Rattus norvegicus: one gene and its partner. The protein of the gene in region 2 binds, or shares a complex with, the protein of the main gene of each other region. Links are inferred from orthologs where the notes say so. Each region holds a gene or a part of one and is shown on either strand. Other genes may lie near its edges.

Region 1 (9,465 bases), on a different chromosome or scaffold from region 2:
CAGCAGTCTCCGGGCACAGATTGGCTAAACAAGCCAATTCAAACTTATGTAACTTCTTCTGGAGAAGCAGGCTGAGTGTGAGGGAAATAGAACACAGGACGTTAGAGAGGGACAGAGACAGGAAATGAGCACGATCTATACTATACTATATACCTGAATAAAAATGTCACAATGGAACCTGTAATTACCTGCAGTTATATGCTAATACGAAACAAAAAACTACAGTCTCATTCAGTGCTGGTCAAATGCTAAGTCCATCAATAGCAAAAAGATCAAATGTAGGTGAGAAAAGGTATTTATAATCTTTGATTGTGGCTATATGGGCATCAGAATCCCCCTTTGAAATCACTTTCTGTTCCTACCCCAGAAAATCAAGACGTTCCAGAAAAAGAAAACAAAGAACCCACCGTAGACAGCCAAGAACCCTGAGAAGAGCACAGCTGGGTAAAGAGGAATGTATGTGCTGTAACTACTGCCAAGAAACCAGTAGTTGAGAGTTGCTCTTTTCAGAGGTCCCGGGTTCAATTTACAGTACCCACATGGTGGCTCACAACTGTCTGAAATTCCAGATCCACTGGATCTGATACCCCTCTTTGGACTCTGCCAGTACTAGGCACTTGTGTGGTGCAGAGGCAAACACACACATAAAATAAAATGCAATAATAAATATTCAAGGGGCTGGGGATTTGGCTCAGTGGTAGAGCGCTTGCCTAGCAAGCACAAGGCCCTGGGTTCGGTCCCCAGCTCCAAAAAAAAAAAAAAGAAAAGAAAAGAAAAAAAAATAAATAAATATTCAAAAGGAAGTGACTCTCTAGCTCTTTGCTCTATCTGCTACCTTTGATAAGTTAATGTTAAGCAATTCAGGAGATCTGATTGGCTAGCCTATTGCGTATGTTGAGGGAAACTCCTCTCCTTTAACTTTGAAATACCCCAAACTCTGTGCAAATCTGTGTGTAAGCTGCACCTTCAGGATCTCCATAGCCTGCACTATAAAATAAAGCTTACGAGAGAATAAGTTTGGTTTCCAAATGAATGTAGTAAGAACTTATATACTCTGGGGGACTGGAAAAATGGCTCGGCAGTAACAGCATCTGCTAATTTTCAGAGGACTTGAGTTAACAACTGCACTGGGTGGGTCCATGTGTCTACAACTCCTCTCTGGCCTCTGCTAGTGCTGGCACTGAACACACATGGTGCACATATATACAAGCGTGTATATACATATAAACAAAATAACAAAAAATGATTTTCTGTGCCTAATAGCACACATTCACAGCAGCCTGGTCTACACAGCATGCTCTTCACTAAACAGAGATACAAATCTGTCTCAGTAATAATAACGATGACAATAATATAAATTTTTTCTAAAAAACAAAAGACAGTGTGGTGTTCGACACCTTTAATCTCAAAACAGGTGGATCTCTGTGAGATAGAAAACAACCTGGTCTAATATGGAGTTCTAGACCAGCCGGGGCTAGATAATGAGACTCTGCCTCAAAAAAAAAAAAAAAAAAAAAAAAAAAAAAATATATATATATATATATATATATATACACACATATATATATACACATATATATATATCCAAGTTATATAAAGAAATCCCCTCTCCCCGCCCCCTCATGTGTGTGTGTGTGTGTGTGTGTGTGTGTGTGTGTGTGTGTGTGTATGTGTGTGTATAAAATAAAAATAATATTGCTGATGCCAAGTGCATACTGACTGGAGCCTGATATAGCTGTCTCCTGAGAGGCTCTGACAGAGGCAGATGCTCACAGCCAACCACTGGACTGAGCACAAGGTCTCCAATGGAGGAGTTAGATAAAGGACTAAAGGAGCCAAAGGGGTTTGCAACCCTACAGGAACAATATCAACCAACCAGATTCCATCCCCACAGAGCTCCCAGAGACTAAACCACCAACCAAAGAATACACATGGAGCGACCCATGTCTCCAGCTACATATGTAGCAGAGGATGGCATTGTCTGGCATCAATAGAAGAGGCCCTTGGTCCTGCAAAGACTGGATGTCCCAGTATAGGGGAATGCCAGGGCAGTGAGCTGGGAGTGGGTGGGTGGGGGAGCACCCTCGTAGAAGCAGGGGTTGGAGAGATGGGATAGAGGAGTTCCAGAGGGGAAACTGGAAAGGGGATAACACTTGAAATGTAAATACATAAAATATCCAATAAAAAAAATAATAAAATAAAAATGAATACAAGAAATCGTACCTGGAGGGCAGCGAGTGCATGATGGCATATACTAGTAACCCCAGAATTTGTGATGCAGTGGAGAAAATTTTGACTGAGTCAAGTCTGAGAGCCTTTTTTCTGGTAGGCAAAATTTGGGGGTGGGGGTGGGGGCTTCAAGCCCTTGATTACTTTTTTTTAACAGGTTCTATCTATGTAGTCCTGGAACTTGCTATGTAGACCAGGCTGGAGTCAAACAGAGATTCTCCTGTCTCTGTCTCTCAAATTCTGGGATTAAAGGCATACCCAGTTAGGGTTTTTTTGTTTGTTTGTTTGTTTTTCCCCTAAGTATTTGTGTGTGGTCTGTTTATTTAGCCATTTGTGTGTATGTGTAAGTGCGTAAGCATACATACTTAGAAGGCAACTTCTCATTCATTCTCAGAGCTTCTGGGTGCATCTGGGGTTCTATATAAGCTCAGGTCCTAAGACTTACCCAGAAAGCACTTTTGGTTGCATTTGTTTGTTTGTTCTATAGACCAGGCTGGCATCGAACTCAGAGATATGCTTGCCTCTACCTCCTGAGTGCTGGGTTAAAGGGGTGCACCACCACCTCTTGGCTGAAGCATGTTTTACCCACTGAGCCATCTCAGCGGCCCCTGCTTTGTTAGCATTTTTAAAACAGCGTCTCATGCAATCAAGGCTGGCTTTGAACCTACTATGCCCCTAAGGATGCCCTTGAACTCCTGGATCCTACAGCCTCTGTCTTTCACGAGAGTCTATAATAATAAAACCGTTTTGTAGGGCTGGAGATGCGGTTCAGCAGCTGAGGGCACCAGCTGCTCTTTCAGAGGACTTGGGTTTCGAGTCCCAGCACCTACACAGTGACTCACGACTGTCCGTAATTCCAGCCCTGGGGAGCTAACGCCCTATTCTGGCCTCTGTGGGTGTTTACACACATGGTGCACAGACATACAAGCAGCCAAACTCCCATAACACATACATAAGTAGATTTTAGTTTTGGGCTTATGTTCAGTACTCACCTACGAACACTGGCAATGGTCTCTCTGTTTTTGAACCGGCTGAAACGGGCTGTATAGTTCAGGGTTTTCATGAAAACCTCTGAAAGCTCCTGTTCGTCCTCCGCACTCTCATTCTGCTGCTTTCGGTGCTCCAGAAGCATGTGAACTTCAGAGTTCAGGAGCGTCTCAGCTGTTTCGAACTCTGGAAGAAGAATAAATGTGAACTGAAAATACTCTTTTCAAAGTCTCAGCATTTGGGAGGCAGAGGCAGGATGATCTCTGTGTTTGAGGCCAGCCTGGTCTATTATTGATGAGCTGTAAGATAGCCAGAGAGACTCAAAAACACCAAACAAACGAAACCAGAAGGCTAGAGAAATGAGCATGCACTGCTCTTTCGAAGGAAGTTCAATTCTCAGCACCCCATCAGACACCTCATAGCACCTCTCCCCTCCTCAGATACCTGCACAGACATAATTAAAATAAAAATAAATTTTACAACAGTGACATAAGGGCTGGAGAGACGACAGCTCCGCACTTAAGAGCATTGGCTAATCTTCTAGAGGATAAGGGTTCTGCCACACACAGCACCAACAAGATGGCTCGAAATCATCTTTTAAGTCCAATTAGTACATCTGGCTTCTATGGACACCTCACATGCATGCAGACCTACACGCAGGCAAAATAATCCTTATATATAAAAATTTAAAAACAAAGATTCTCCATCTCAATTAAAAACACACACAAAAGACAGAAGATAACCTCACTTGCTGGGGCTGGGCAGATGATTAAGTGGATAATGTACTTGCCACTCCAGTGTAAGAAGCAGAGTTAGGATCCTCAGAACCCACAAAACAGGTACAGAGGGTTCCTATATCTAACAGTTGGTAGGAAGAGACAGGGGATTGATTTCCTGGGGCAAGGTGACTAGTTTAGACTAGTTTAGTAGCAGGAACAGCACTATGCACAGAGGCTGGCACACATCCGACAAAAGGAAGTACCAGACATCCCAAACCGGAACCCATCTTGCTCTCAAACGTTCTTCCTAACTCGAAAAGCTACAACGAAGGTTCAGAAACCAACGGCAACAGCATCTCTCCTCAGAGGCCAGGGCAGAGAGCACTTCTGACCCACAGATCTTGAAACGCTTTGACTAGCACTGTGAGAGGAACCATAGCTCAGCTTTTACTGGCTGCCAATTTTGAAATGAGACCTCTGCTCCAGATCTTCTGCATGACAGGAAAAGGCATAGCTTAACTCCCCCTAAAAATCAAGAGCGATGGCGCATGCCTTTAATTCTAGCACTCAAGAGGAAAGGGCACGAATGTGATAAGGTGGAGGCTAGCCTAGGATACCTAATTAGACGCTCTCACAAAAACAAAACTGCTGGGTGTAGGGGAATTAACTACGAAAGGGTTCATTTGTACCGGGCTGACCAATCAATCCCCCGTGCCGGCCCCGAATGCTCCCTGTGGGCAGGGAACGGATAACGACTATAACTCAAGGACAATGTCACCTCAGAGTCGAACTGTCCCGGATACTACCTTTGGGAAAGATGAGCTGGGAAGCATCTTCTTCTACGTCGCCAGCTCGAGGATCGCTTCCACCTGCCGCCATCGCCCTGCGCACTGCCACAGACACTGCCGGAGACGGAAGCCGCACGGACGGGCTCTTCTAAGGAAAAGAACCAATCCGGCTCCGGGGTGGGGCCAAGTGAATGGGCGGGGCCGAGAAAGCGGGCGGACGACGGTAGGTCAGGCACCCTGCTATCACACTAGGGGAAACCCGCGAGACTGCCCGCGACAGGGGCGGTCCGGGCGCAGTCTAGCGGCTTCCGGTCGTTGGAGGTGTGGTTCTGTGCTGCCTGCTTGGAGATTAAAGTGTTTATTTTCGGCAACACACTATTGCCGTGGCACCTGGGAGCGTCAAGTAAGCCATTTCAGAAGAAAGTGAGGTGCAGGACTGAACTAAGTGGCTGATCCAAGGAATGTCCTATGTTGAAAAGCTGGGTAGGTGACTACAGAAACATACTGAAATCTCTTTCAATGATTGAATTGTGTCTTAAGAAAAAAAAAAAAAGACTAACCCCTGTGTGGTGGTAATGAATCAATCACTGAGCGCGAGGATCAAGAGTTGAAGGAGATCAGTTTGTAGTGGCGCATGCCTTTAATCCTAGCATGCCCGAGGCAGGCAAAGGCAGGTGGATCTTTTGAATTTGAGACTAGCCTGGTTTACAAAGTGATATAAAACCAGGGCTACATAGTGAGATCTTGTCTCAAAAAAAAAAAAAAAATTCACAAAGAGGCGTGGCTACTTAGCAAATTCCCAAGAATCCATGCCAGTTTAGGTAACATACCATCCTGTTAAATTGTTCCTGTGTATTTAACAATTCTGAGCAGGTGAAGTTTAATATTGAGAACCCTTTATCATATCTGTTGAGACATTTGAATAAGTAGAAAGCTAAATGAAAAAGTGATATTTTCAATTTAAAGAGAAACAAAAGTCTATACAATAAGGGGGACAAACACTTCTCCAGTTTTTGGGTCATTAGTGAACACTAGTAAACCCTGTAACTTAATAAAAAATGGGCTGGAGAGGTGGCTCTGTGGTTAACACTTGATGCTTTCAGAGGGCCTGGGTTCATTTCCCAGCACCCACACCAGATGGCTCACAAACACCTGTGACTTCAGCTACAAGGGATCTAAACCCTTTCTGGTCTCTCTTTTGGAGGTGAAACACACCATACACACCCTTCACATACACAGAAAATAAATCTTTTTAAAAATTGATAGAAGTATTTATTACAAGACAAGAAAATGTATTTTTATTATATATACAGAGGTGCACAGAAGAGATTAGAGGATAATTTTGTGGAATTTGTTCTCTGTTTCCAGTTTTGCATAGATTCTGGGGATTGAACTCAGGGCCTTTATCTGCTGCATGATCTCACTGGTCCAAGAATAGGTAGTCTTTTGGTTTGTAAATAAAATGAGTTTTACAAAACTGCTGTGTATCTATATTTGTAGAAGGAATGCATTGGTTAAAATAAATGGTTATATAGTATTGACAGCTTTTTAACCATTTCTCGGTGCTTTCCTGAACAGCATGTGAGAAATCACAACAGGGACTGGAGAGACCTCCCAGCAGTTAAGAGCATGGCTGCTCTTACAGAGGTCATGGATTCAGTTCCTAGCATCTACATGGTGTCTCGCACAGTCTATAACTATTGTCCATGGTGTTCTAGTGTGCAGACATACATGTAGACAAAATACCCATACTCATAAATAAACCTTAAAGCATAAGACCTTTATAACAGACATGCTCCAGCTTATCAGAACTCCTGCAAAGATATTCAGGGCAGTAGTTCATAGTCATACTGCACCTAGGTAGTAGAAATGGACTTGAGATTCAGTACACACACACACACACACACACACACACACATAATACACATACACATACATACACACATAATACACACATATACACATACACATACATACACACATATATACACACATACACATAATACACACATATACACATACACATACATACACACACATATATACACATACGCACATACACACACACACACACACACACACACACACACACACACACACACAGAGGCATGAAAGGAGGGAGGAGGAGAGAAGTCACCAGGCATAGAGAGAGAAAACAAGAGTAACAAAAACATAAAGTGACATTTCCCAGGTTGGCCCATGTGTACCATTTTCATTTAGGAAGCCATTATAAGCCATCTGTAAGTCCATGAGGTTAAAATGATGAGTAGGGTAAAAATCTGTCCCGAACATGAGCTCACTAAGAGTAGCGAGTGCAATATCTGACGGGTGATGTAACACAGTCAAAGAAGGTGCTAAGGAAAGATCAAGAGTCCGATGTTTGGCTGTAGTTTAAATGTGTCTCCTAAAGCTTCGTGTCCTGGAAGTCAGAACTGCGTAGGAGGTAGGGACTAGAACTGGAGAGGAGGTTCAGTTATGACAGTGCTTGCTTTTGCCAGCATGCGGACCCAGATTTCATCTGGGAGAAAGTTCGAGGGATATGAGTGGACAAGGAAAGGAAAAGCAGCCTCCCTTAGATTCCATGTTCACAGAAGAACATTTCTCATTGGGAGAAATGGCAGAGGAGCATGAGGACGGGCATCTAAACAGGAAGAGGCGATCCCAGGGGCCCCAGAAAATATTCAAACCACAGTCTACTCAGGAGTTCCAAGTGTTAGGCTTTTATTCCTTTTACTTCCCCCCTCTCCAGGGCTTGGTCTTCTGTCTGTCCCTGGTGTTCAGTTCTTTTTTTTTTTTTTTTTTTTTTTTTTTGGTTCTTTTTTTCGGAGCTGGGGATCGAACCCAGGGCCTTGCGCTTCCTAGGCAAGCGCTCTACCACTGAGCTAAATCCCCAACCCCTCAGTTCTTTGTCAGTATCAGGGCCACCAGCACCCTTGTTACAGATCATAAGAACCCACATAAAGTGCTCATTATCCCAGCCCTGAGAGGAAGAAGATATATACAATCCCAAGAGCTCTCGGGCCGTGTAAATCAAGGATGGTGAGAGACCTGCCTCAAAGAAATTGGATGGCATTCCTGAATAGGGATCCAATATCATTTTCTGCCATGTACATGGACACACGTGTACCTGCAGACACATGAACATCCATACACAGAAAGAGAGAGAGAGATGTCTTGGTGTCTAAAGGCACTTTCTACTAAGCCAGAGGAACTGAATTTAATTGGTAGGAGAAAACCGACTCCCAAAAGTTGTCCTCTGACCTCCATACATGCACCAGAGGCATATATGTGTGCATACATGCAAACTATAAAAATTGCTTTAATGAATTTTTAAAAAGAACTGAGGTCTAGTGGGATGCCCTTAGATATTGGGGGCATGGCCTTAGGAGGAATTAATGTATTTTGTACTCTTTGCACACCAGACCGTGCATCTCACCTTTATCATGTTCTCTTTCCCTTTTATATCCATGATGCCATGTGAAGGGAGGTCCTCACCAAAGCACCATGCCCTTCAACTTTCAGAACCCTGTGGTTCTGCAGGTTAAGCTTGATATGTAATCCTGACTGTCAACTTGAATGGCTTTTATCCACTGAACTTCATCTTTGCTCTTGTCAGGGATTCTGGCATTGTAAAAATCTGAGGGAGAAATGCACTTTTTGCTCCCACATAACACAGCTAAATGTCTTGATCATCTTGATTTTTTTTTTGGTAATTTTTTAGATTTGTTTATTATTTTGAATGCATAAGTGTTTTGGCTGTGTGTATGTCTGTGCACCGCTTGTGTGCCTGGTGCCCAAGGAGGTGGTGAGCTTCTGGGTGGGTACTGAGAATTGAGCCTGGGTCCTTTGAAAGAACAAGTGTTCTCAACCACTGAGCCAACTCTCCATCTTGTTAAGGATGGATTTACTGGCCAAGCAGGGGTGGTGCATGCCTTTAATCCCAGCACTCCGGAGGCAGAGGCAGATGGATCTCTCTGAGTTCAAGGTCATGCTGGTCTATGAAGGGAGTTCTAGGACAGCCAAAAAGCCTACACAGAGAAAGCCTGTCACAAAAACAAACAAACAAAAATGATGGACTTACTTTAACAAAGATTTGGAAAACTTGTCCTCCCAGGTACTGAAGTAAATAAGCAAGACATGACCAGAAAGACTTTCTCAGGAACATAATAGTGTCCTGCTACCTTCTCATGACTACAGGATGGAAAGCATCCCGGAAGTTGTGTTGCCTCAGGCAGAGCAGGTCTTTAAACTGAAGATCTGATGGGGCGGCAAATGCAGATGGTTCACTATAGTTGAGATTACGTAGTGAGTTCTGGGCCAGCCCAGGCTACATAGTGAAACCCTGTCTCAAAGTAACAAAACCTTCAGCTCTCAAGCCAGTAAGATGACTCTGATCTCATTGCTACCAAAGATCATGACCTGAGTTCAGTCTGAGACCCCACATGGTGGAAAGAGAACCAGTTCCCAAAAGTTAGATGCTCACACAGGTACAGGCACACAGATACACAAATTAAACAAACAGCCCAGGTCTCTGGACTGGGATATAACTCAATGGTAGAGTACTTGCCTAGCATGTGAAGTCTTGGGATCAATCCTCAGAAAGACACCACACACACACACACACACACACACACACACACACACACACACAAAGAAATATCAAGACAGCCTAAACTTGGAGGTTTTCAAGCCTAGATGTCACAGATTCTTTGGAGAATCACACAAAACTTCAAGTAGGCTCC
Region 2 (9,800 bases):
CTGGCTTTCATAGCTGGAATAGGAATTAGTCCTATGTGTAATTTAGGTGAAGTCAGGAATTTCTGGGAAACTCTTAACTTTATCAGAGCCACATAGCAGGGTGTCTTGAGAATCTGGGGGAAACTGTGTAGAATGGGTATGTGTGACTTAATGTAAAACCTGGGCTGGGGCTGGGGCTGTCCTTGGACGAATCCACTCCTACTCATGGGTCAGTGCTCCGCAGGTGCTGCTGGCCCTGTCTGCACACGTGGGTGTGTTGGAGGCTGAGAAGCAGAGGCTACGGGCACAGGCACGGAGGCTAGCCCAAGAGAACACATGGCTTCGAGAGGAGCTGGAGGAGACACAGAGGCGACTGCGGGCCAGTGAGGAGGCTGTGGCCCAGCTGGAAGAGGAGAAAAGCCACCTTCAGTTCCTGGGGCAGCTGAGGCAGTATGACCCGCCCGAGGAGAGCCAGGTAGCAGGGGCAGGGTCCTCCACGGAGCTCCAGGATGCCCTTGAGTCTTCCTTAGTACTCATCGCCTCATAGCCCTTCAAGTACATACGGGGTCCCTAAATCCCCATACCTAAGTGAGCTTCCAAAATCCCCTCAATGCTCCCTAGGGCTTTCAGGTCTTCTCCCAGCTCACTGAAACCTCTAAGGCTCTCATCCCACGCCTTTGTCAAGCTCAGAGCTACTATGGCTGAGGCTGGGAGGATGCTGTGAGTTCTAGGCCAACCTGGGCTACATTGTAGTGAGACTCTTGCCTCATAAATATACCAGTCCTGGAGCCAGGCATGGTGGCATGCCTTTAAGCCCAGCACTTTGAAGGCAGAGGCAGGCCAGCTAGTCTACGCAATGAGCCCCTGTCCTAAACACCAGAAAGCTACACAGGCCGGCTTGATGTAGCTTCAGGGCTTCAGCCTCCAACACTTGACATTCTCAGAAATACTCTTTCCTGTTTACCACAGAGGCCGGATTCCCCGCCTCGCCGAGACAGCCTGGCTTCTCTCTTCCCCAGTGAAGAGGAGGAAAAGAAAGGTGGGTGTGTGGGAGCCCTGGGCACGATATCAGAGGGTAACCACGCAGGACTATAGGCTAAGCCTGGGGCAAGAGCCTTGCCCTAAGGGACACTGAGGCCTCTGAGGAGGGGAAGCAAGTGGCTCTGATGAGCAGGGACATTGGAAGCTGGAAGTCAGTCATGTTCGGTTCTGGCACCTAACATGCCACTGGCTGGTTAGATTTCTGAAATCCCTGTGTCCTGTCAGCACAAGGCCATACTCCGAGAGGTGGCTGTGGGGTACAGGCTGAGGCCCACTGTGGCTGACTCTACACCACCTCCCCCAGGTCCTGAGGCAGCAGGAGCAGCAGCAGCGCAGCAGGGTGGCTATGAGATCCCAGCTCGTCTGCGGACTCTGCACAACCTGGTGATCCAGTATGCTAGCCAGGGCCGCTATGAGGTGGCAGTTCCGCTGTGTCGCCAGGCCTTGGAGGACCTGGAGCGGAGCTCAGGCCACTGCCACCCTGACGTGGCCACCATGCTCAACATCCTGGCACTTGTGTACAGGTGAGGGCTGTGGCTAATTGGGCCAGACTCCACCTGGGATAGTGGGGGACACTGCAACCCCCTGACTAGGTAAAGCACCTAGGGTGGGGACAGGAAAGTGAAAGGAACAGAGACCTAGAGAGGCAGTGAAAGCCGGAATCTAGAATTTGGGCACCAGAGAATGCAAGGGACATGAGACATGATGCTTAACAGGGCTGGCAATGTGGGGACCCAGAGCTAGAGGCCTGAGAGGTGTGAGAAAGGGGGCCCCCTGAAGGATGCCAGTCATTCCTGGCTCAGTTCAGCCTGTGACACCAGCTTAGCCCAGCCTTCCGTCCCTGCCCTGCAGGGACCAGAACAAGTACAAGGAGGCCACGGAGCTTCTTCACGACGCCCTGCAGATCCGGGAACAGACGCTGGGTCCTGAACACCCTGCAGTGAGCGGAGTTCAGGGAGGGGGTGTGTTTTGGGGGGAGATGGACTCAGGAGGGTGAGCTGCAGGGCCCTCCTCCTTCGACAACTGTCTTCCTACAGGTGGCCGCCACCCTCAACAACCTGGCAGTCCTTTACGGAAAACGTGGCCGTTACCGGGAGGCAGAACCCCTCTGCCAGCGTGCTCTGGAGATCCGTGAGAAGGTGCTGTGCCCAGCCCTGCTCCCCATCACTGGTACTTCAAGCTACCTGCCACGCCTTGCGTTTGGTGGCAAGTCCACCTCATTTGAGCCCAGAGCGCCCAACCTTGTGACCTTAGTGAGCTCACAGTCCAATCCTGACTTTGACCCCTGCACCCTTTCACATCTTTGCTGATTAGCCGGACTCCGTACCCCATGACCTCTAACTTCACTAATCTCCACTCCCCCTTAACTTCCACTCTGTTCCTATATTCCCAGCCCGGGACCCTGGAAAGACAGTGGCATCTCACCAGCTACCCTATGTGACAGATGGCTTCTGTGTACCCTAGGTCCTGGGTGCTGACCACCCTGATGTGGCCAAGCAGCTCAACAACCTGGCCCTGCTGTGCCAGAACCAGGGCAAGTTTCAGGATGTGGAGCGGCACTATGCAAGGGCCCTGAGTATCTACGAGGCCCTGGGGGGACCACAAGACCCAAATGTGGCTAAGACCAAGAACAACCTGGTAAGGCATGTCGGGTGTGTCCTGTCCTGGGGGTTCTGTAGGGAGGGAAGAGACCACGGGCTCCTGCAGGCCCTTCAGTACAAAAACCAGAAGCAAACCCCAGTTCAGAGTCCTGTGTCAGATTTTACTGTGGTCATGGGGGGTGACCCCAAACATTTCACCCACTGAGGTAGGAGACCAGCGCAGAGATGCAGGACTGGCTCTGCGCTGTAGTAAGCTGAGGCAGGATGCTGGGGAAGGCGGGCAGGTCTGAGAAGTTCCCAGGCCTAAACAAGATGCCCACGCCCTGCCCCTACCCTCCCTCCCCGCAGGCCTCGGCCTACCTGAAGCAGAACAAGTATCAGCAGGCAGAGGAGCTATACAAGGAGATCCTCAGCCAGGAGGCCCTGCCTGCCCCGCTTGGTGAGCCCACCCCTGCACCCTCCTGCACACCCTCCTGTGTGGCGTTCCTCACTCCCACCTCCATGTCCCTTCTGTCCCTCAGGAGCCCCCCAGGGAGGCACAGCAGGTGAAGCACAACAGCAGGTAAGCAGGCTGTGCCTTAGGTCCTTTTGGGTCTGGTCTGGGTGGGCCTCCACCATGGCCACAGGTCACTGTGCCCTCCCCAGGTCCTACGCAGGAGCAGTTCCTTCTCTAAGCTCAGAGAGTCCATCCGGCGTGGAAGTGAGAAGCTGGTCTCCCGCCTCCGAGGGGAGAGCATGGCAGGGGCTGCAGGGTGAGTGCTGGGTGAGCTCAGGAGCTTGCCAAGAACCTTCCATGACATCAGCCTCAGTGACACTGGTCAGAGTCAGGGACCTGTAGCTTCCCAACTCACACCTGTCTTTTTGGGCTCCTCTTCAGGATGAAGAGAGCCATGTCACTCAATATGCTGAACGTCGATGGTCCAAGGGCTGCCAGGATGCAGGTGAGGAGCCAGTGATGGAGTAGGGTGCTGTTGGCAGGCTCAGCAAGACGGGAAAGGTGGGGCGGCCTCCTGGGGCCTCAATGTAGGGGTGAGTTGGTGGGTAGGGCATGAAATGGCTCCAGTGTCAACTGGAAAAGAACTCTAACCTGTGCCTGTCCCAGCTCTCAACCCAGCACCTGAATGAGGCCTCTCGGACCCTCAGCGCCAGCACGCAGGATTTGAGCCCGCGCTAAGTGGACTGGCTGCAGTGGTCACAGCTTCTCAGGGATCAGGAAGGGTGGGTGGGTGGTCTCCCTGCACCCTGCCTGGGCAGCATGTGAGGATGGGGAGGGACCCTGTGATCCTCCCTGCAATTAAAGGCTGTGCACTGGCACTGGGTGTTCGCCGGGGGCCCTGGGACCTTCCCTCACTTCCCGGGAGCCACAGTCCCGTGTTCAGAGCTGCTGTGCAATCTGCTCAATTCGCTGTAGTGTTTCCTCGGACTGCAGCTGCTCCAGACTGAGCAGTGACAGACCCAACTGATCCTCCTGAGGGGACAGAGGCAAAGGACAGGCGTCAGCTCGCATCCAACTACGTGACTGAGAGTGTCCGGTGGCTGGAGCACACGGCCAGACTAGGAAAAGGGAACTAGCGCTCTCACCTGTCCTTTACCTCCTGAATATGGGGCCTGAGGTGACTAGGAAGCATGTGCACACCTGGTGGCGGGAGAAGCGTGCGGGGCCCAGGCTTACCCGGTGGAAGGGCTGTGCCATCTGCCGCAGGAAGTACTTGGCGACCTGTACACCCTCATCCACGGTCAGGTTGAGGTTGGAGTCAGTCAGATGCTCCTGGATCCATCGAGGCAGCTTCCCACGCTTGTCAGCTCGAGCAAACCGCTGTGAGGAGGGAGGGGAAGGATGTTAGACCCCAGGTTGGAGCCCAGGCTGCCTACTACCCTGTACCCTGTGAGGAAGAAGTTGGGCTAGCTGGATTGGGGTGCCCAAAAACCCTGAACCCCACCTTGTCAGCAAAGACCATGAGTCCATAGTCTGTCTTGCCCCTGATAGCGCGACCCACACACTGCGCTGCATGGCGCATGGCATCAAAGGTGAGGAAGTCATTCTCTCGGATCTGGAACTGGTCCCGCAGATACTCTAGCCTGGCCTGGGGGACAAGGAGGTTGAGGTGGAGAGCCTGCCCTTCCCCACCACAAGACGACGACACCACCACCACCACCACCACCACCACCACCACCACCACCACCACCACCACCACCACCACCACCACCACCACCACCACCACCAGGACATCACTGATTCCCCCACTCACCTTGAGAATTCGGCTCTGGGTGTAAACATAGGGGACGCCAAACATGATCACGGCCCGCCCATAGTGGTGCACTGCGGGCAGGAACGCAAGGTTACAGTGCGCGCTGGGCTGGCTGGGGCTAAGGCACGTGCTTAGGTCACCCCAGGGTGTGGAAAGGGGACAGAATCCCTGTGTGCCCAGTGGTCCCCAAGGGAGCAGCAGTGGTAGGGTGGGCTGGCCCCTTGACTAACGGCCAGGTCTACTCACCAAAGTCAATCCCTTCTGATACTTTGCCCCGAGCCACTGAGAGCAGAATGGCCCCGCGGCCATTCTCACATGCCTAGGGAGGTGGAAACAGTCACTTCTCAGCCCTCTCCCACACCTGTTGGCTGCCGGCCTTCCCCTGCCTGTCCCAGGCACTCACCTCTTGGTACTTCTCCAGGGCCACACTGGTCTCAGCCCCATCCTGGGTCTCAATGAAGAGCAGTTTGTTTCTCTGGATGTTTTCAAGGATGCCCTGGGGGTGACAGGGAGGTCAGGGCTCAAGCCACACAGAGTCAAGCACTCCAATTTCAGCCCCACTGCTATGGCCTCCATGAAGACCCTTCTCTAGGCCCCCAGCTGTCCAACCTCATTGGCAGCCTAAAGTGGGGAGCCAATCACCACCCAAGGTGGGCAAGAGGCCCCAGAGTGGCAAGTGACTGGTGGAGGGTCTGCTGACAACCACGGCAGGACCAACCAGGCCGTCCTCAGACCAAATCTGTCACTGCAGTGGTGAGCGAGGGACAGAGACAAAATCAGGCAGCCCACCAGAACAGACTCTGGGTTCAGAGAGACCAGGCAGGGTTACCTGTGTAGCCCAGTGAGCACACTCTACCAAAGATGCTAAATACGGGAGGGAGTTTTACTTGAGAAGAAATGAACTCTGACCCTATCTCACCGAGCCCAGTGAGACTGTTGTGTCTCAGAGACACAGACTCTGGCTTCAACAGTCAGGCTGGCAGGTTTCTGTTCTCAGAACCAGGGACTGACTGGGATAATGGCCTGTACATGTTACACGTATGCTTGCTCCACCATTCTACAGCCCCTCACTGGGACACGCCCTGCCTGAGACACACCCAGTCTACAGTGCCTGCTCAAACTAGGCCTGAAAGCTGGGCTCAGCAGTCACAAGACAGAAGAGCATCCCCATGCGGCATAGAACCCCACGGCTCCATCCAACCGCACAGGTTTGAGAGCTCCTGATCTAGCTTAGCCCTCCAGAATCTGCACATCCTAGCACCAAGCCTTCTTGCTAGGATGTAGTCTGCAGTGACCCCAGGAGCACTGCAGCACACGAACCCCAAAGGTGGGATAGTCCCCTGTGGTGGGGACAGGCAGGGTAGGGGTGCTGTTGGCATCACTGTCCCACCCTGTGACATGTCGTCACCAGTAGAAAGAGTGGGTGAAGCCACAGGAAGAGCAGAGCTGAGAGTGTGGGCGGCAGTGGGCAGGCGTTACCTGCTCATACCAGGAGGCTACAGTGCTTTCCATGTACTGGTAGCTGGTGAAGAAGGCCACGATGCCATCAGGGACCACGGCAGACATCTCCAGCAGGAGGTTGCCATAGTTGCGGATTACAGCTATAAGAGTAGGGTAGAGACTGGACTCTCCTGCCTCCCACTGAGGCCACATACCCATATTCCCAATTCATTCTCCCAAGCATCCCTGATATCAAGACCATGAAACTTATGACAGCACAAGAAACAAGTGGAGTGGTTGTCTCTTCCATGTGACCCTCAGGAGCCAGTGCCCAAAGTCCCAGGGGCCCTGTGCTATGTGCTTAACTCAGTGGTAGTGCAGATCTCCAAATGAAGAGACCCAGGGCGCTGAGGGTGGGAAGGCCCCCTGTGCTAGCCATAGAGACTGGGGTCTTGCGATGGCACAGGTCCTAGGCCACCTGAGACCCACCCGACCAAGCCTCCGGGTGACTCACCGATATCTTCTCTGGTCTCAAATTTGGAACTGATTGCTACCTGGTCATTACCACGGCCAATGATCTGGAAGAGTCAGAGTTAAGGACAGTGTAAACACAATGACAGTCAAAACCCCCTTGCTTGAGATGGTGTCTCATGTAGCCCAGGCTGGCCTTCAGATTAGGAGCCTCCCCAAGGCTCTCCATCCTCCCAAGCCCATGAGAAGGCTGTTCTCCAACCCCCTGAAGTTCTGTGTAGCCAAGGTGATCCTGGTTCTCCTGCCCCTCTCCCAGATTTGAGATGAGTGCCCCGTGCATGATAGGCAAGCACTGGATCAAATAAGGCCCGAGTTCAGGGAAGCCTATGTACGGGGACAGCAGATCACATGGCCTAAGTCTCTGTATGGATACAGTAGGTCACGTGGCCTAAGCCTATGGTTGGCACTGCTTGGACAAATGCCTAGAGCTCAACCATGAGCCACTCACACAGTCACACAGCAACAAGCCCTGGGGAAGGACTTCTGTGCTTTTAAGTAGTGCTATATTCCAGCCTTGGGCAGTTCCAGACACAGGTCACGCCACAGCATACATCCCATTAGCAACCCTCTGCAGCCAACCCTGCTGCAGAGACGAGAGGCCTGCAGGCAGGCAGCCTCTGACGTGGCCCTCCACAACGCCTGTGCTCAATAAGCAGGTGACCCAGCTACAAGCCCTCCCCACAGTAAGGTTTTCCAGGGCATGTGATTCTGTGCCAGGCTTCCCTTGGCTGCTGTGACTCGAGGCCCTGGGGTGAACACGCCTAGAGAGCTGTGGGGCTCTGAACTGGAAAGGTCATGAGGCTGAGGGGACAGCTCTGTCCCAGGCTTCAGAGGGAGGCTCATTACCCAAGAAACAGCTGGATGTCAAATGACAAAGCCACCCTCAGTAAGATGATGCCCAAACACCAGCTGCCCAGGCCTGCGTCGCACCAGCGTACTCTTTGCGCGCACGTGTCTAAGTGCCATGTTGCTGGGAAGGGGCCTGAGGGTCCCTCCCATGTTGGCAGCACTTAGTAATTTGGTGCATCCACCAGGTCTGAGCCTCAGCTGAGCAGCCGGCTGCCGTAGTTGAAGCCAGGAGGCAGGCGACCTCACCTGCCTCACCCACTCACCATTGGGCAGAGGCAGACTCGGGCCAGTGTCATGGTGAAGGTTGCCATTGTAACCGGGTGGAAGTCCAGGATCTTGGGGTAGATGTCCAGTGGAGACAGTGTCTGTAACAGAGACAGCAAGGGAGACCTCAGCAGGATGGCCAAAGACCAGGACCCTGATGGAGGAACAGCACAGAGTCCTCACCCCGGACGTGATGATGACAGACTGGAAGCGTTCAAACACAGGCTTGATGGCCAAGGAGGCGTCCATACAGCTGTGGGGCAATACAGGGTCACACAGAGCAGAGGGCAGGGTCGAGGCCTGTCCCACCCACGCAGGGCTGCATCTCACCTGAAGTGCAGAATGGGGTTGGTGATGGTGGGGGTCCTGTCGTCAAAGGGTTCAATGATAATGGTGAAGCCTGGTGGAGGGGGAGCCAGGGAGTCTCACTGTGATCACCCCAGACACTCACCATCCAGGGATGGAACCGCCCCAGCCTGCCCACTTCTGCACAGCTGGGTCATGCAGATACTCGGGTGCAGAAGCAGATGAGTTGGGGCTTCCTTACATGGCCCTGCAGACAGACAGACCAAGCCCCCACTCCCCAGGCAGCTCTGTCCTCCAGTTTCTCCCACTCCTGCTCCCCACACAGCAACCAGAGACATGCCATGGAACCGAGTTTGCTAGTGTGCACACTTCCCATGACCCCAGAGGTGTGCCATGGATCTGCAGGGACCCCTTGCACCAGCTGCTGTGCCAGTTTCCACTTGACTGAGTCCCTGCCCCAGAGGCCAGTGCTATGGTGCTGGCACCACCATACTTTCCAGAGGCACCTGGAATCATCTTTGCTCCTCGTTCTCCCCCAGGCTGTGACTCCTGGAAGGGGAGGACGAGGCTGTTTTTAGATCCTCTTGCTTCGACAGTGCTGGGCCTGGCCCATTTGTTGACTGAACAAATGAATACATTCATGGATTCTGTTTCACTTGGCAACAAATGACCAGGTCTTACGTGTCCAGCCCTTGCCAAGGACACAGCAGGGACCAACACAGCCTCAGTCCCACCCACAAGGGCTCCCTTGTATAGGGGAGACGGCTACCTAGCGAGCAGTGACCTGAGACACATCTGGAATAGAGGAGGGGCAGGCCCAGCAGAGGGTGGGTAGGGTGCCTTTCTGAGAGCTAAGGATGCATGCAGCATGCAGGAGACGGGGGAAGGGGAAGGAGCTTTCAATCGACTGCAGTGGGTTGTAGATGGTGGGAGGCAGAAAACAAAGGTGGGCCAAGAGAAGGGCTAAGTGAGGGCTAAGTGAGGGCTGAAGGAAGCAGGCCAACTGCCCTGCAGTGGGGTTGATGGGGTTGGGGGTGGGGGGGAATCTATTCTTCTGAGGTTGGCCCAGCTGCAGGATGCCAGCTGACCTGGTTTCCTGGATACTGCAGTAATCCCCAGGGATAAGCTTGAAACTCAGTGTAAAGCTGGCGGGGGTGGGGGACACACAACACATGGGCAGAGGAGATGAGACAGACAGACCCAAGACCAAGTGACAGCCTCCACAATGTCCTGAGAGCAGGCCTCTGTGCACTGTCTCCCGCGAGCTCTTCATGTCCAGTGCTATGCTTCTGCATCCTGGCTTCTCCTCCCAGAGCTCCCCCAAGCCACTTTCCTGTTCAGCCTCAGTCTATGGCTCCGTACCTTCCTGCTACATGAACTTCGACAAGTGCATCCCTTGGCCAGAACCTGCCATGGCCCCCTGGTGCCTCAGTCACACACAAGGGCTCCTCACCCGCCAATGCTGAGGTGACCCCCAGCATCCCTCTGGTCAGTGCCACACCTGCCAATGCACCTTTTCCACCTGCGGCCGGATGCAGCC

The links.
Region 1: Ercc2 (region 2) and Polr2d share a complex: the UniProt entries of both Homo sapiens proteins name them as parts of the TBP-based Pol II pre-initiation complex. The link is inferred for Rattus norvegicus from reciprocal best matches to the Homo sapiens genes ERCC2 and POLR2D.

Annotation. Positions count from the first base shown.
Region 1 is NC_086036.1:23,687,982-23,697,446, reverse strand, and holds the start of Polr2d (DNA-directed RNA polymerase II subunit RPB4), read right to left. Parts: upstream 4,870-9,465; 5' UTR 4,815-4,869; coding exon 4,742-4,814; intron 3,403-4,741; coding exon 3,222-3,402; intron 72-3,221; coding exon 1-71. UniProt on the Homo sapiens protein: Core component of RNA polymerase II (Pol II), a DNA-dependent RNA polymerase which synthesizes mRNA precursors and many functional non-coding RNAs using the four ribonucleoside triphosphates as substrates.
Region 2 is NC_086019.1:88,168,064-88,177,863, reverse strand, and holds the end of Ercc2 (general transcription and DNA repair factor IIH helicase subunit XPD), read right to left. Parts: intron 8,355-9,800; coding exon 8,285-8,354; intron 8,208-8,284; coding exon 8,138-8,207; intron 8,056-8,137; coding exon 7,954-8,055; intron 6,889-7,953; coding exon 6,825-6,888; intron 6,472-6,824; coding exon 6,350-6,471; intron 5,367-6,349; coding exon 5,274-5,366; intron 5,190-5,273; coding exon 5,117-5,189; intron 4,942-5,116; coding exon 4,871-4,941; intron 4,706-4,870; coding exon 4,562-4,705; intron 4,438-4,561; coding exon 4,294-4,437; intron 4,090-4,293; coding exon 3,997-4,089; 3' UTR 3,796-3,996; coding exon of another isoform or gene 3,724-3,795; 3' UTR 3,563-3,723; coding exon of another isoform or gene 3,499-3,562; 3' UTR 3,460-3,498; coding exon of another isoform or gene 3,143-3,459; 3' UTR 3,061-3,142; coding exon of another isoform or gene 2,970-3,060; 3' UTR 2,762-2,969; downstream 1-2,761. Other genes in the region: Klc3 (kinesin light chain 3), read left to right, coding at 224-454, 949-1,018, 1,325-1,544, 1,873-1,960, 2,058-2,159, 2,485-2,658, 2,970-3,060, 3,143-3,459. UniProt on the Homo sapiens protein: ATP-dependent 5'-3' DNA helicase. Component of the general transcription and DNA repair factor IIH (TFIIH) core complex, not absolutely essential for minimal transcription in vitro.